Linked DNA regions of Ovis aries. The protein of the gene in region 1 interacts with the protein of each later gene in a pairwise test. Links are inferred from orthologs where the notes say so. Each region holds a gene or a part of one and is shown on either strand. Other genes may lie near its edges. The genes, in order: keratin-associated protein 10-12-like, NAXD and NPDC1.

Region 1 (3,742 bases):
TCTTTGCACTGATCACTGAGGAAGGCTTTCTTATCTCTCCTTTTATTCTTTGGAACTCTGCATCCAAATGGGTATATCTTTCCTTTTCTCCTTTGCCTTTGATCACTTGACAGTGATTAAGACCATCCCCAACCAAAAGAAATGCAAAAAGGCAAAAATGGTTATCTGAGGAGACTTTACAAATAGGTGAGAAAAGAAAAGAAGCTAAAGGCAAAGGAGAAAAATGGTACTTGTCTTGAGTAAACTCAGGAAAGAGATTTACGAGTTGAGGCAGGACACCTGTTTACCAGTCCTCTTAGGGTTTTGCTCCATTCCCTCTTTCCTGGATGGAACTGAGCTGGGGTGGGGATAGTATCCCCTGGGGAGATGCCTTCAGTTCCTGGTCCCTCTTGCCCCAGCCACCACTGTTCTCCTGCTCCTATGGGCCTCATCAGTCTGTTTCTGGTGGGGGATAAGTAGTTGACTGGTGCTGACTGGTGCCCACTTCCTCTATTGCTAATGTCCACTAAGACTGCAGGCTCTTTCTCCCCTACTGTCCTGAGGGTTTGTTCACAAGGCGTCTCTTTTGTTCTGTCCCTCCTCGGTCAGGCTTTGAAACCTTGAGTAGAATGAGTGATGTCTAAATTGACACTGCACCCCCTTGGAGCCCCCAGAATCTCCTCCTCAGTGTTGGCACGTCTCTCCAACAGCACTTACCCTGGACTCTCCGATCCAGACCCAGGAGGGTTTCTGCTGCTCCCCAAGTCACCCTCAACCTGCATGGGCAGGGGGAGGAACCCAGGGCCCACTCAGGATCTGAGCCTTCTGCACCCACACCCGCCTCCATGTCAGCCTTGAAGGGCCGTCCACTGCAGGGAGAGTGAGCCTGGGGTAGGAAGGGACATAGAATGTGTGAATGGCACCAGCTTTCAGATCCTGTTGTTTCTCAGCTGCTTTGAACTCGGATGGGAGAATGTGTCTTTACTGCCTGGCTTCTGCCAGCAGAGCACCTACAGGCCATATTTGGAGGGGCTGAGGGGGCCCAAGGGAGGAGGCCAAAACAGACATGGGTCCATATTTCCTGACACAAACGCTTTATTCATTAGAGCAGCTGATGTTTGTCATATGGGATTCAAGCAGCCTGTCCTGCAGAGGAGGCTCCTGGGGCCCCACAGTCCACCCTGTCAAGGGCTTTCTGAGATGCCTGCCAAGTTCGAATCCTCTCTGGGCAGCAGCTGCGTGTCCAACTTTGGGAGAGGGGAGGTCCTGGCGCCAGCAGAGGGGCTCCTGGAGCTTGGGAGAGAGACAGCAGCTTGTGGAGGGCGGGTGATTGGCCGGTCAGCAGCAGAGCTCCGGGGCTGAGGTGGGGATGCCGCAGGCCAGGCGGGAGCATGCAGGCCGGCAGAGCAGGGACACAGAGGAGGCTGGGCGGCAGCAGCTTGGCTGGCAGGAGGAGGTGGGCACACAGCAGGCGAGGCGGCACGCAGGGCGGCAGAGGAGGGACACAGAGGAGGCCGGGCGGCAGAAGCTGGGCTTGCAAGAGGAGGCGGGCACACAGCAGGTGGGGCCGCACACGGGGCGGCACACAGGACGGCAGAGGAGGGACACGGAAGAGGAGGGTCTGCAGCAGGATGAGGGGGCTGAGCAGGGGGAGGTCTCACAGCACACGGGCCTGCAGCAAACAGGTGTACAGCAGACAGGCCTGCAGCAGACGGGCTCACAGCAGGCCTGCTGGCAGCAGGAGGAGGTGCAGCAGGAGGGCTGGCAGCTGGACTGCTGGCAACATGAGGAGGTTGAGAAGGGGGAGGCCTCACAGCAGACAGGCCTGCAGCAGACAGGTGTGCAGCAGACAGGTGTACAGCAGACAGGCCTGCAGCAGACGGGCCTGCAGCAGACAGGCTCACAGCAGACAGGTTCACAGCAGGCCTGCTGGCAGCGGGAGGAGGTGCAGCAGGAGGACTGGCAGCTGGACTGCTGGCCACATGAGGCTGGGCAGGAGCTGCTGCAGGCTGGCTGGCAGCAGGGGCTGGACTCACAACTCACTGGGGCGCAGAGGAGGGTCAGGCGGGGGGCCGAGGTGCAGCAGCTGGGGGCACAGCAGGGGGGCTCGCAGCAGCTCTCTGGACAGTCATCCACCTGCCAGGAGGAGCCGGTGCAGGAGTCACAGGATCCAGGCAGGCAGATCCGGCTGCTGTAGCTCAGGTCGCTGGAGCAAGCAGACAGGTTAGAGAAGGCCATGGTGGAGGTGGTACGGCTGGAGGAGGTGTAAGTGTGTGTGAGTGTGTGAGTGAAGTGCTGAGGGTGTCTGCTTTTATACCCGCCCTGAGTATGCGCGTGGCCCTGGTCGGAGGCTCCCACGCTCTCCCTTCCTTGTTGCTGTTTGGAGCTGACCCTCATTAGGGCTGCTGTGTTTTCTACAATTAGCTTTTACTCATTAAACATGTGAGTACGTTGCAAGAGTCTGTTTTCCCATCTGTTCTTTGTTTGGCTCCAGAAAACTTGTGGAGGATGCAAGACGCAAGTTTCTGCTGAATGCCTGCCAGGGTTCTTAAGTCACGTTCACGGAGGGAGGGGCTGAGCGTGAGACAAGTTCCCAGCCACTGCAGCCGCTCCCACTTCACGCCAGCCTTGACAGTGTGAGAATACATAGGGAAAGATGCCTAGCTTTACCGCAGCCCAAACTATACCTAAGAGCATTACTAAGAAGATAAGTTGCGAGCGAAATAGAAAACTTGACCAAAGAACACACACAACATATATCCACTGGGACCCGAGAGGTGTAAGCAAGAAACTCAGAGCTATAGACTGAATTACCACTCTTTCTGGATCAATCCATCCCTGATGTAACTTCAATCAGAACCCAAAAGAAATATTTTTGGCATATAAAGTGAAGATATTGAACTGCTAGAAAATATTTGCAATGTAAAAGTTGAAAGCCTTTACAACTAAAGCAGGATATGATACAATAGAATCAAACACAAGCACACAGTCCATTCAAATTTCCAATCAACATTTGAAAAGCTACTGGATATCACTGATAATTAAAAGGCTCTAAATTAAAACACAAATATCCCACCTGCAAGATCAGCCAAGATTTACAACACTGGTAACACCCAGTGCTGCACAGTCTGAGGTCCTCACTCTTCTTTAAAAATTAGTTAACTTTTCGCTGAGCTGGGTCTTTGTTGCTACATGTAGGCTTTCCCTGGTTGTGGCAAACGGGGCTTACTTTTTGTTGCAGTGGGCAGGCTGCTCTTGGCAATGGCTTATCTTATTGAGGAGCACTGGCTTTAGGACATATGGGCTTTGGTAGTTGTGGCACGTGGGCTAGTCCCAGACCAGGGATTAAATTTATGTTCTTTGCATTGGCAAGTGGATTGTTAACCACTGGATCACCAGGGAAGCTCTAGGGGCCTCCCTGTTAGAAATCCTTAACAGGTACGTTTTTTTTTTTATTACATGTAACAAATAATATAAAATTAACCATTTTAAAGTGTTCGATTCAGGGACATTTAGTACAGTCACAACACTGTACAACTATGACCACTATCTAGTCCCGGGACATTCCCAAAAGGAAATCTTGTAGTATTGGGTAGACCCTCCCCAGTCCCTGTCAAGCACCGCTCTGCTTTCTGTCTCTATGACTTTGGCTGTTCTGCTCATTTCATGTAAAAGGAATCACACAATAGGTGGCCTTTTGTGTCTGACTCCAACTTGGCATACATGTGGCATACATGTGTGCTTGATCCTTTTTTATGACAGG
Region 2 (3,642 bases), on another chromosome or scaffold:
CACCCCGGCTGGGACTTTTCTGCACAGTGAGAAGTTTCTTTTTCTTTGAAAATGTCTGAAACAGATGTGCCTCTGACTGTGTCAGGGATCAGAGCACCTTCTAGCATCTGAAGAACCCACAGGTCTCAGGGTCCCTCGGAGAACGCTCGCTGGGTCTCCTGTCCAGCGTGTGTGCGCATGTGCGTGCGTGGCGTGTGAGTGCGTGCGCGTGGCGTGTGAGTGCGTGTGGCGTGAGTGCGTGTGAGTGCGTGCGCGTGGCATGTGAGTGCGTGTGTGCGCATGTGCGTGGCGTGTGTGTGCGTGTGGCGTGTGAGTGCGTGTGTGCGCATGTGCGTGTGCGTGGCGTGAGTGCGTGCGTGTGGCGTGAGTGCGTGCGAGTGCACACACGTGCCCAGGCCTGTGCTTCTCTGGCCCCTGGTTCCCATGACCTGGTCAGCAGCCCTGCGTGTCCAGCTGTCTGGCCACTGCCCGCTGGGCCTGGCGCCACCGGGGGGCTGTACCAGCGGGAGGGCCCTGCAGGGAGCAGAGGTGCCGCGCGCTGAGCCCGGAGCCCCGCTGAGGGCACGGGCAGGCGGCCCCCAAGGCTGTGCTTGGTGCCCGGGGACTCCCGCGCCACCAGCTGCTCCCTGGCGTCTCCTTTCTGGGCGCTCTTGTGAACTGAACGAGCAGCAGGCACTCAGTGCCCGCGTCCGTCTGCTGTGGGGGGCCCTCCGTGGGCCGTCGCACACAGCAGGGAAGGAGCATCCGCCGCCATGCCGGGGCCAGCCCGGGCCAGCACGCCCCACCAAGACCACCTCCCTGTGCAGAACACCGAGCGACAGGGCAAAGCCAGGCTTCCCGAGGTTGCGGACAAGCGGTCCTCCTGGGGCTGGTGCCCAGCGTGGCTGTGCCAACTGGCTGAGATGCGGGGTGGCGTCTGCACCCACTCACCCTGCTCGCCGTCAGAGATCACGTCCTGCTCCCCCTTCTGCACCACGGTGACGTTGCCCAGGGCCTGGCTGAGTCTCAGCACCGCTCCGTGACGGTCCCCGCCCTCCAGGGGCGCCCCCAGCTAGACAGGACCAGAGACATGGGCCTCATGGGACACGGGAGAGCCTGTCTGCCCGGGGTCCGGCTCGTCTGGGGGCCTGCCTGGCACCTGCCAACAGCCAGACGAGCCGGGCCCTGAGGCCCAGGCCATCCGTGCTCCAGGCGGACAGCAACACAGCCCTCGGGGCAGAAACACCGCAGGGTGCCCGCCCCGACCTGGTCCTGGCGGAGTCAGGGCCCCGGCCCATGGCAGGGAGTCTGCAGGTTTGCCCGAGTGACGCAGCTCTGAAGGATAAAGAGCAGACGCACATGGGCTAACACGTAGGACGCTGGGTGGACAGACGCAGCTGACCCTTCAACAATTTCGGTGTGAATGGCTCGGTCCTTACATGTGGGCTTTCTTCCACAGTAACTACGATCAGCCTGGCCGAGTCCACGGAGGCAGAGCGGCAGGTGTGGAGGAAGCGCGCGGAGCGAGGGCCGGCTGGCCGACCCTCAGGCTCTCAGCGGCGTGCAGGCAGCACCTAGCCCCATGCTGTGCGGTCAGTGGTGCGGTTTGATCTCGTCCTCAAAAACCCTATGACGTGGACCCCGTCCCACCCCACCTCTCAGAGGAGGGCATGCGGGGCAGGGACGAAGCAATCGCCCGGGGGGGGGCGGTGCCTGGAGGCCAGGCTGACCCCCGAGTCCACCACCCAGGTTTCACCCCGTCAAGGACGCTGACCGGAGGATGCTCTGGAGTGCATGCAGTCACCTGCCTGTGCCTGGCTGACTCACCACAGCCTCGGACAGTCTGCCGAACTCCACGTGGTTGGGGGTGAGGACCGCCTTCCGGTAGCCCTGGATGAGGGCTGGCTGCTGGGCAATAAGCCAGAGCCCGTCCTGCGGACGAGGACGCGGGTCATTCAGGAGCGGCCGAGGGGGCTGCGGTGAGGAGGGGGCAGGGCAGGGGCCACACTCACTGCGTCGATGACCACGGGGACTCCCCTGGCCTTGGATGCTTCTAGAATGCCCTGCAAGAAAGGCAGGCAGCTAAGCACTGAGCCCGTTGCCTGAGGAAAGCTGAAACAGCAGTTCCGACGGACTCCACACCAGGCCATCAACACACACACGGGACTCATTAAGCAAGTGCGAAACACAGTGAGAAGAGCCCTCTGCAGGGCCAGCCTGAACTCTGAACACGCGAGCCACAGGACCAGCACTGGTGCTGGCTCCCAGGCCAGTCCACGGAGGCCGACCCCCAGCCAGCATCTCCAAACTCCCAACAGTTGCGGACCCTCGGGATTCGGGGTCAGAAACCTGACGCCTCAAGCGCCCAGCTCTTCTGTTTTTACGCACCTCTCGTACGTCACATTTCATGAGTCTTTAAGTGTGACCGTGACCGTCAACAGTGAACGAGGCTCGACACGAGTGTCCTAAAGCCGACTGTGGCGATGCCTGCGAACTCCGTGAACACACCGCCAGCCCGGCAACCGCGCCCTTTAAGTGACTGGGCGCTATGGCCTGTGAAAACCTTCCTAAAATCGCCGAAAGGAAAAGCAGGGACCTGAATCCCGGAGAAACTACCTCCCTCCCTGAGGTGGCCGCGCGGCAGGGGGTCGCTTTATTTACTGAGGTTGCTACAGGCCGTTCAGTCCATTCACTGAAAGCGTACAGAAAGCAGCCATCACCACAATCAGTTTCAGGATGACATTCTCATCCGCCGAGAAAGGAGCCCCATACCCGTCCTGCCCAGGTGCAGACAGGCTGTTGCACAGATCACGCCAACAGTGAAATCGCTCAGGAAAGACCTACTGAGCATCTATGATTGGGCAGCACCCAAGGGAGCCGAGAGGGGGCGAGCAGAGGGCAAGCCCACCTGCTAGCTGGGGCCCGGTCGGGGCCACAGACATGCCAGCAGGTCTATGCTGGCTCACTCCCAATCTCTAACTCACGCTGCAGAGTAGCTTTTTTTTTTAAAAGATAAACACACTAAACGTTTTATTATGAATTTCTGAAAATAACAAAGAACTTGAAGCACAGAGAACCCCGCCTTTCATCACCTTAAATTCATCCCCAACCCCTCTTGATACAGATTATGGTTTCACGTCTCTATAAAAATCACTTTTATTTTAGTTTTCTGGATACAGTATTCCTTGACTGAGCACAGCCCATGTGTCTGTAAGACGGTTCTACGAAAACATTAAGGTATTCCAGGCAGATAACGTCAAAGTTTGCTTGCGTGCTCGCCATCTGGGTGGGTGAGGACAGGCCCTCCACACGGACCGTCTGTAAACAAGCACCCCCTGGCATCAGTCGCCGCCCTCGGCAGCTCGGTCCCTGGGGGGCCGGCAGCGGGTCTGTGGCTCCAGGACACGCGCTGAGAGGCTGCGGGAGGGGCGCCCCCGACCACACCGTGTGCGGTAACTGGGCCGACTGTCGGCACCAGCGTCACAGACGCATGTCCTGGGCAGCCCTGCCCCGCCTGTGGCGGCCGCGGGCCCTGCTCAGCGACAGGCCGCAGGCTTGAGGACGCGGCGTCTCTGGCCCCAGCTTCCACTCCAAAGGCTGGAACGCCGAGTCGTGGAAGGGGCCCCGAGGACATTCAAGTTCTCACTGAATTCTGCCAAAGCC
Region 3 (3,742 bases), on another chromosome or scaffold:
CACCCATTCCCCAGAGTCCAGTGCCCAGGCCCAGGCCAGCTTTCTGCACGGAAACTGTCCCTTGTCCTGAGAGTGCAGAGCTCTCCTAGGCAGGATCGGGTAGCCCTCCAAGCCCTGCTTCTGGCCTCAAGCTGACCCAGAGCAAGCCTCTCACCCAGCCTGGGAGCCCCAGAGGGTGGGGCCCTGGTCTGTCCCATTCCCTCAGGGCTGCCACTCAAAGCCGCCACTCAAAGCCCATCACGACATCCTACAGCCCTAGAAAGCCCGGCTGGGAGACGGCCCAGATCCAGTCGCTCCCCCCCACATCTACCTTCCAGCCCGTCCTGTCACAGAGAGGGGCTGCTGGGGTGGGGAAACCTGGGATGGGGCTGCCGGGCTCACTGGCCTCGCAAACAGAAACCAGGCGGGGCACTCTTGTAGCTGCCGCTGCCAGGGACAGGGGCCTGGGACTGCAGCAGGGAGGCCACTTCTAATTGGGGGCCCAGACCTCAGCGTCCTGCGCACACAGCCATGGCTCCCACCCTGATGCTGGGCACTGGAGGGCGGTGGCCCTCTCAGCCTCAGTCTCCTCTCTGGATGCAGAAGGCGAGGCACCGCCACGCTGCGGAGTCTCAAGGCCTGGGACACTGGCCCCAGCCACTCAGCAGCAGAGCCTGGGGAGCCACAGAGAGACCCAACAGGACCGTCAATCATGCCTGGGGAGGTGGGGCTCGGGGTATCTTGGACGACCAGGACTGGTCCCCTTGGCCCAGCCCCGTCCCCGCAGGAGGGTGACATCCCAGGCTGTCCTCCAGACTTCAGCTGGCCTGACTTGGTTTCCCTGGTAATGATACTCACAGCCCGTTGGCTGTAGGTATCCCTTGGAGGAAGTTCCAGCAGCTTCTACAGCAGGTGGACAAGTGGGCTGGGGCTCCCCTCCCAGGGATCCCACCTCCTGCACAAGTTGGGTCGGCAGGCACCAGTGTCAGCGCGGTGGACCCAGGGCTGGGGCTGGTTAAACATTAAGCCTGGGCCAGCAGGTCTGTCTAGACCCCACCCACAGCTGGCCCCCCCGGGGAGCCAGGCAGTCCCAGCCCCTGGTGCTGAGAACTTGGGGTACACTGACCAGGGCAAGGGGCCTGCGGTCCAGAGCCAGCTCTCGGTTCTGGGCTCCAGGGGTCTCCCTTCGCTCCCTGCCCCCCGCCCCGGGAAGACGCGGGTGCTCCGCACTGACCCTAGCAAGGTCCCCGCTCTAATCAGAGCACAAACGAGGCCCCAGGACAACGACACCTGGACAGCGGCTGGCACGCTGCCCCGCATCTGGGCGAGCACAGAGCTGACGAGCCGCTGGGGCGGCACCTGGCCTCCCGGTCTCTTCGGGGGCCCCACGCTGTACGCCCTGGAGCCAGGCCGCCAGCAGGCAGCCTCCACCATCCCGGGCCAGCCATGCCCTGACCCTCAGGCCTCCTTGGGAGCCTCCTCTGGTCAGGCCAGGCCCCTGACCAGGGGTGCTGTGCCCAGGAAGAAGCCTGCCCTGCTCTGGCCTCTTGAGGCTACATGCAGACCACACCTCACAGGTTAGCGTCCCAGCCTCATTGCATACTGGTCACGGCACTGCTGTGCCTCAGTTTTCTCATCTGTGAAGTGGGCTAAAGGCAGCACCTCTCCTGCGGAGCTGCTAGGAAAAATGGGGCCTGGGTACCTAGCCCCCTGGTCCTGCCACCTGAGAGGGTGTGAGGATTCTGGGTTCCTGCAGAAGTCTGGAGCCTCAGTGCCATCTGGGAAGCTGGCAGGGTCTCCCAGGACCCTGGGCTCATCCCTCTCTGCATGATCTGCCCTGGGGGGTGCCCCCACTGCCAGGCACAGAAGACAGCACGGAGGGGCCCCGCAGGGCAGCGGGTGAGTGAGGAAGCAGAGACTGTGAGCTCCTTCTGCCCTCAGCGAGGCCAGAGCAAGCCCCGAAGCCTGAGACGAGCTGTCAGACGCCCGGGAAACTTCAGACGCCACCACGGCAGCAAAGCAAGGTGCGTGTCCACCGCCGGAGCGGCAGGGACAGACCAGCACTGCGGCTCCAACTCCAGGACGGCCACCAGCAAGAAGGCCAGCAGGCACCGGAGCCGCGCGCACAGAGAAACGCCCGTGGGACCGGCTCCAGGCCGCGGCCCGCTCCGAGACAGCCCGCCTGCGACACCGACCCACCGGCTCACGAACCCAGACAAAGACAAGAAGCGGATGGACTTCAGGTTCGCCGCCAAGGAGCCCGGAGAAGCCCCGTCCAGAGGAGTCCCTCGGCGGTGCGGCGCCGCGCCCTTCCCGCCGGGGACTGTTTACCCGGGCAGGGCCAGGCGAGGCCGGCGCGGCGGCTCGCGGGCTGGGCCGGCGGGGCCTGCGAGGCCTGCGGGCCCAGACCGGGGCGGCGGCGGCGGCGGGGAGGGTGAGCGCGGCGCCGCGCGGCCCAAGCCCCACCCGGCGACCCCCGAGCCCGGGGCGCCCCGCAGCCGGCCGCCCCGCGCGTCGCTCACCGGAGCGGCCGCCGGCCGCACCGCGCAAGGCCGCGCCGAGGACGAGGCCGGACAGCAGCAGCCGCAGGAGCCGCAGGTGCCGCGGGGAGGGCGGGGGCACGGGCGTCGCCATCCTTCAGCGCCGCGGCCGGGGCAGCATGGCACCGCGCGGCCCGGGGCTGGGCGCGGGGTCGGGGCGCCAGGGGACGCGGCGGCGAGCGGGGGGCGGAGGCCGGAGGCGGGCGCCGAGGGGAGCAGGCGGCGGCGGCGCTGACGCTGCGGCAGACGAGCCGGGCGGGGGCGGCGAGGGCGCCGAGCCGGAGTGCGCCTGCGCGCCCCACCTGCGGAGGCGGGCCCGCCGTCAGGCTGCGCGCCCCGCCGATTCCGAGCCCCCCCTCGACCCCGCAGCCCGCCCTCGGGGCGCCTCAGCCTCTGCGACCTCTGCAACCTGGACCTTCTCCAGGCGGGGCACTGGTTGGGGCTGGGTTCCCTGGGATGCCCTTCCCCAGCCGGTCCCTCTGGGGCTGATAACTCCCACCCACCCCCAGCCACCCTCCTGGAGCGGAGGATCCGCCTGGGTCTGGAGGTACATTAGGCGCACACAGCAGGGCAGGCGCACGGGGACGCGCAGGTGTGCCCGGAGGCCGACCGGGCATTCAGACACGCGGCAAAGGCACACACAGGCGCGCAGGACTAGCCCGGCCGCTCCCGGTGAGGCCACCAGGGGGCAAGAGTGACCTGGGACTGCTGCTGAAAGCCAGCTGGGAGCTGTCCACGGTGCCCGGGTGACAGCCTTTCAGCTCCGGGATGCCCACGACGGCACGCACTGGGGTGCACCCCATAACCCCACCTGCTGCCTCCTGGGAGCGCAGCCTCCGCGTCCCACCTGGAAACCTCCCCGGCTCCCGTCCCTGAGAGATCAGGGCGGCTTTCCCCCGCCCCCTCCGCCTTCGGTGCGCCTCTCGGCCCTTTGAGTCTCGGAACTCCGAAGACGGGGCTGGTGGCCCGCAGGTTTGTGAAATGCTCAGAATCTGGCAGACGTGTGTGTGGGGTGTGCGTGGGGGGGGGACGGTGTGTGCAGTGTGTGTGTGTGAGCAGAACAAGGACCGCCCCCGTCCCCTACGAGGCACTGATTAGACAGAAATAGTGTCAGAGCTCACTTCCCAGAAAGTGGGGGAGGGGGGCGGAGAGATGCAGGGAGACAGGGCCTGGGGAGGGGCTGCCCGAGCGGCAGGTGGAGTCTGTGTGGATTGTGCGGCTTG

The links.
Region 2: the proteins of keratin-associated protein 10-12-like (region 1) and NAXD interact in binary tests that used the Homo sapiens proteins (3 or more experiments, as listed by UniProt). The two-hybrid records come from large-scale screens. The link is inferred for Ovis aries from reciprocal best matches to the Homo sapiens genes KRTAP10-7 and NAXD.
Region 3: the proteins of keratin-associated protein 10-12-like (region 1) and NPDC1 interact in binary tests that used the Homo sapiens proteins (3 or more experiments, as listed by UniProt). The two-hybrid records come from large-scale screens. The link is inferred for Ovis aries from reciprocal best matches to the Homo sapiens genes KRTAP10-7 and NPDC1.

The regions. Positions count from the first base shown.
Region 1 is NC_056054.1:262,544,417-262,548,158, reverse strand, and holds keratin-associated protein 10-12-like, read right to left. Parts: upstream 2,368-3,742; 5' UTR 2,218-2,367; coding exon 1,318-2,217; 3' UTR 312-1,317; downstream 1-311. UniProt on the Homo sapiens protein: In the hair cortex, hair keratin intermediate filaments are embedded in an interfilamentous matrix, consisting of hair keratin-associated proteins (KRTAP), which are essential for the formation of a rigid and resistant hair shaft through their extensive disulfide bond cross-linking with abundant cysteine residues of hair keratins.
Region 2 is NC_056063.1:84,597,170-84,600,811, reverse strand, and holds part of NAXD (ATP-dependent (S)-NAD(P)H-hydrate dehydratase), read right to left. Parts: intron 2,043-3,642; coding exon 1,992-2,042; intron 1,912-1,991; coding exon 1,807-1,911; intron 1,052-1,806; coding exon 931-1,051; intron 1-930. UniProt on the Homo sapiens protein: Catalyzes the dehydration of the S-form of NAD(P)HX at the expense of ATP, which is converted to ADP.
Region 3 is NC_056056.1:874,855-878,596, reverse strand, and holds the start of NPDC1 (neural proliferation differentiation and control protein 1), read right to left. Parts: upstream 2,792-3,742; 5' UTR 2,614-2,791; coding exon 2,502-2,613; intron 1-2,501. UniProt on the Homo sapiens protein: Suppresses oncogenic transformation in neural and non-neural cells and down-regulates neural cell proliferation. Might be involved in transcriptional regulation.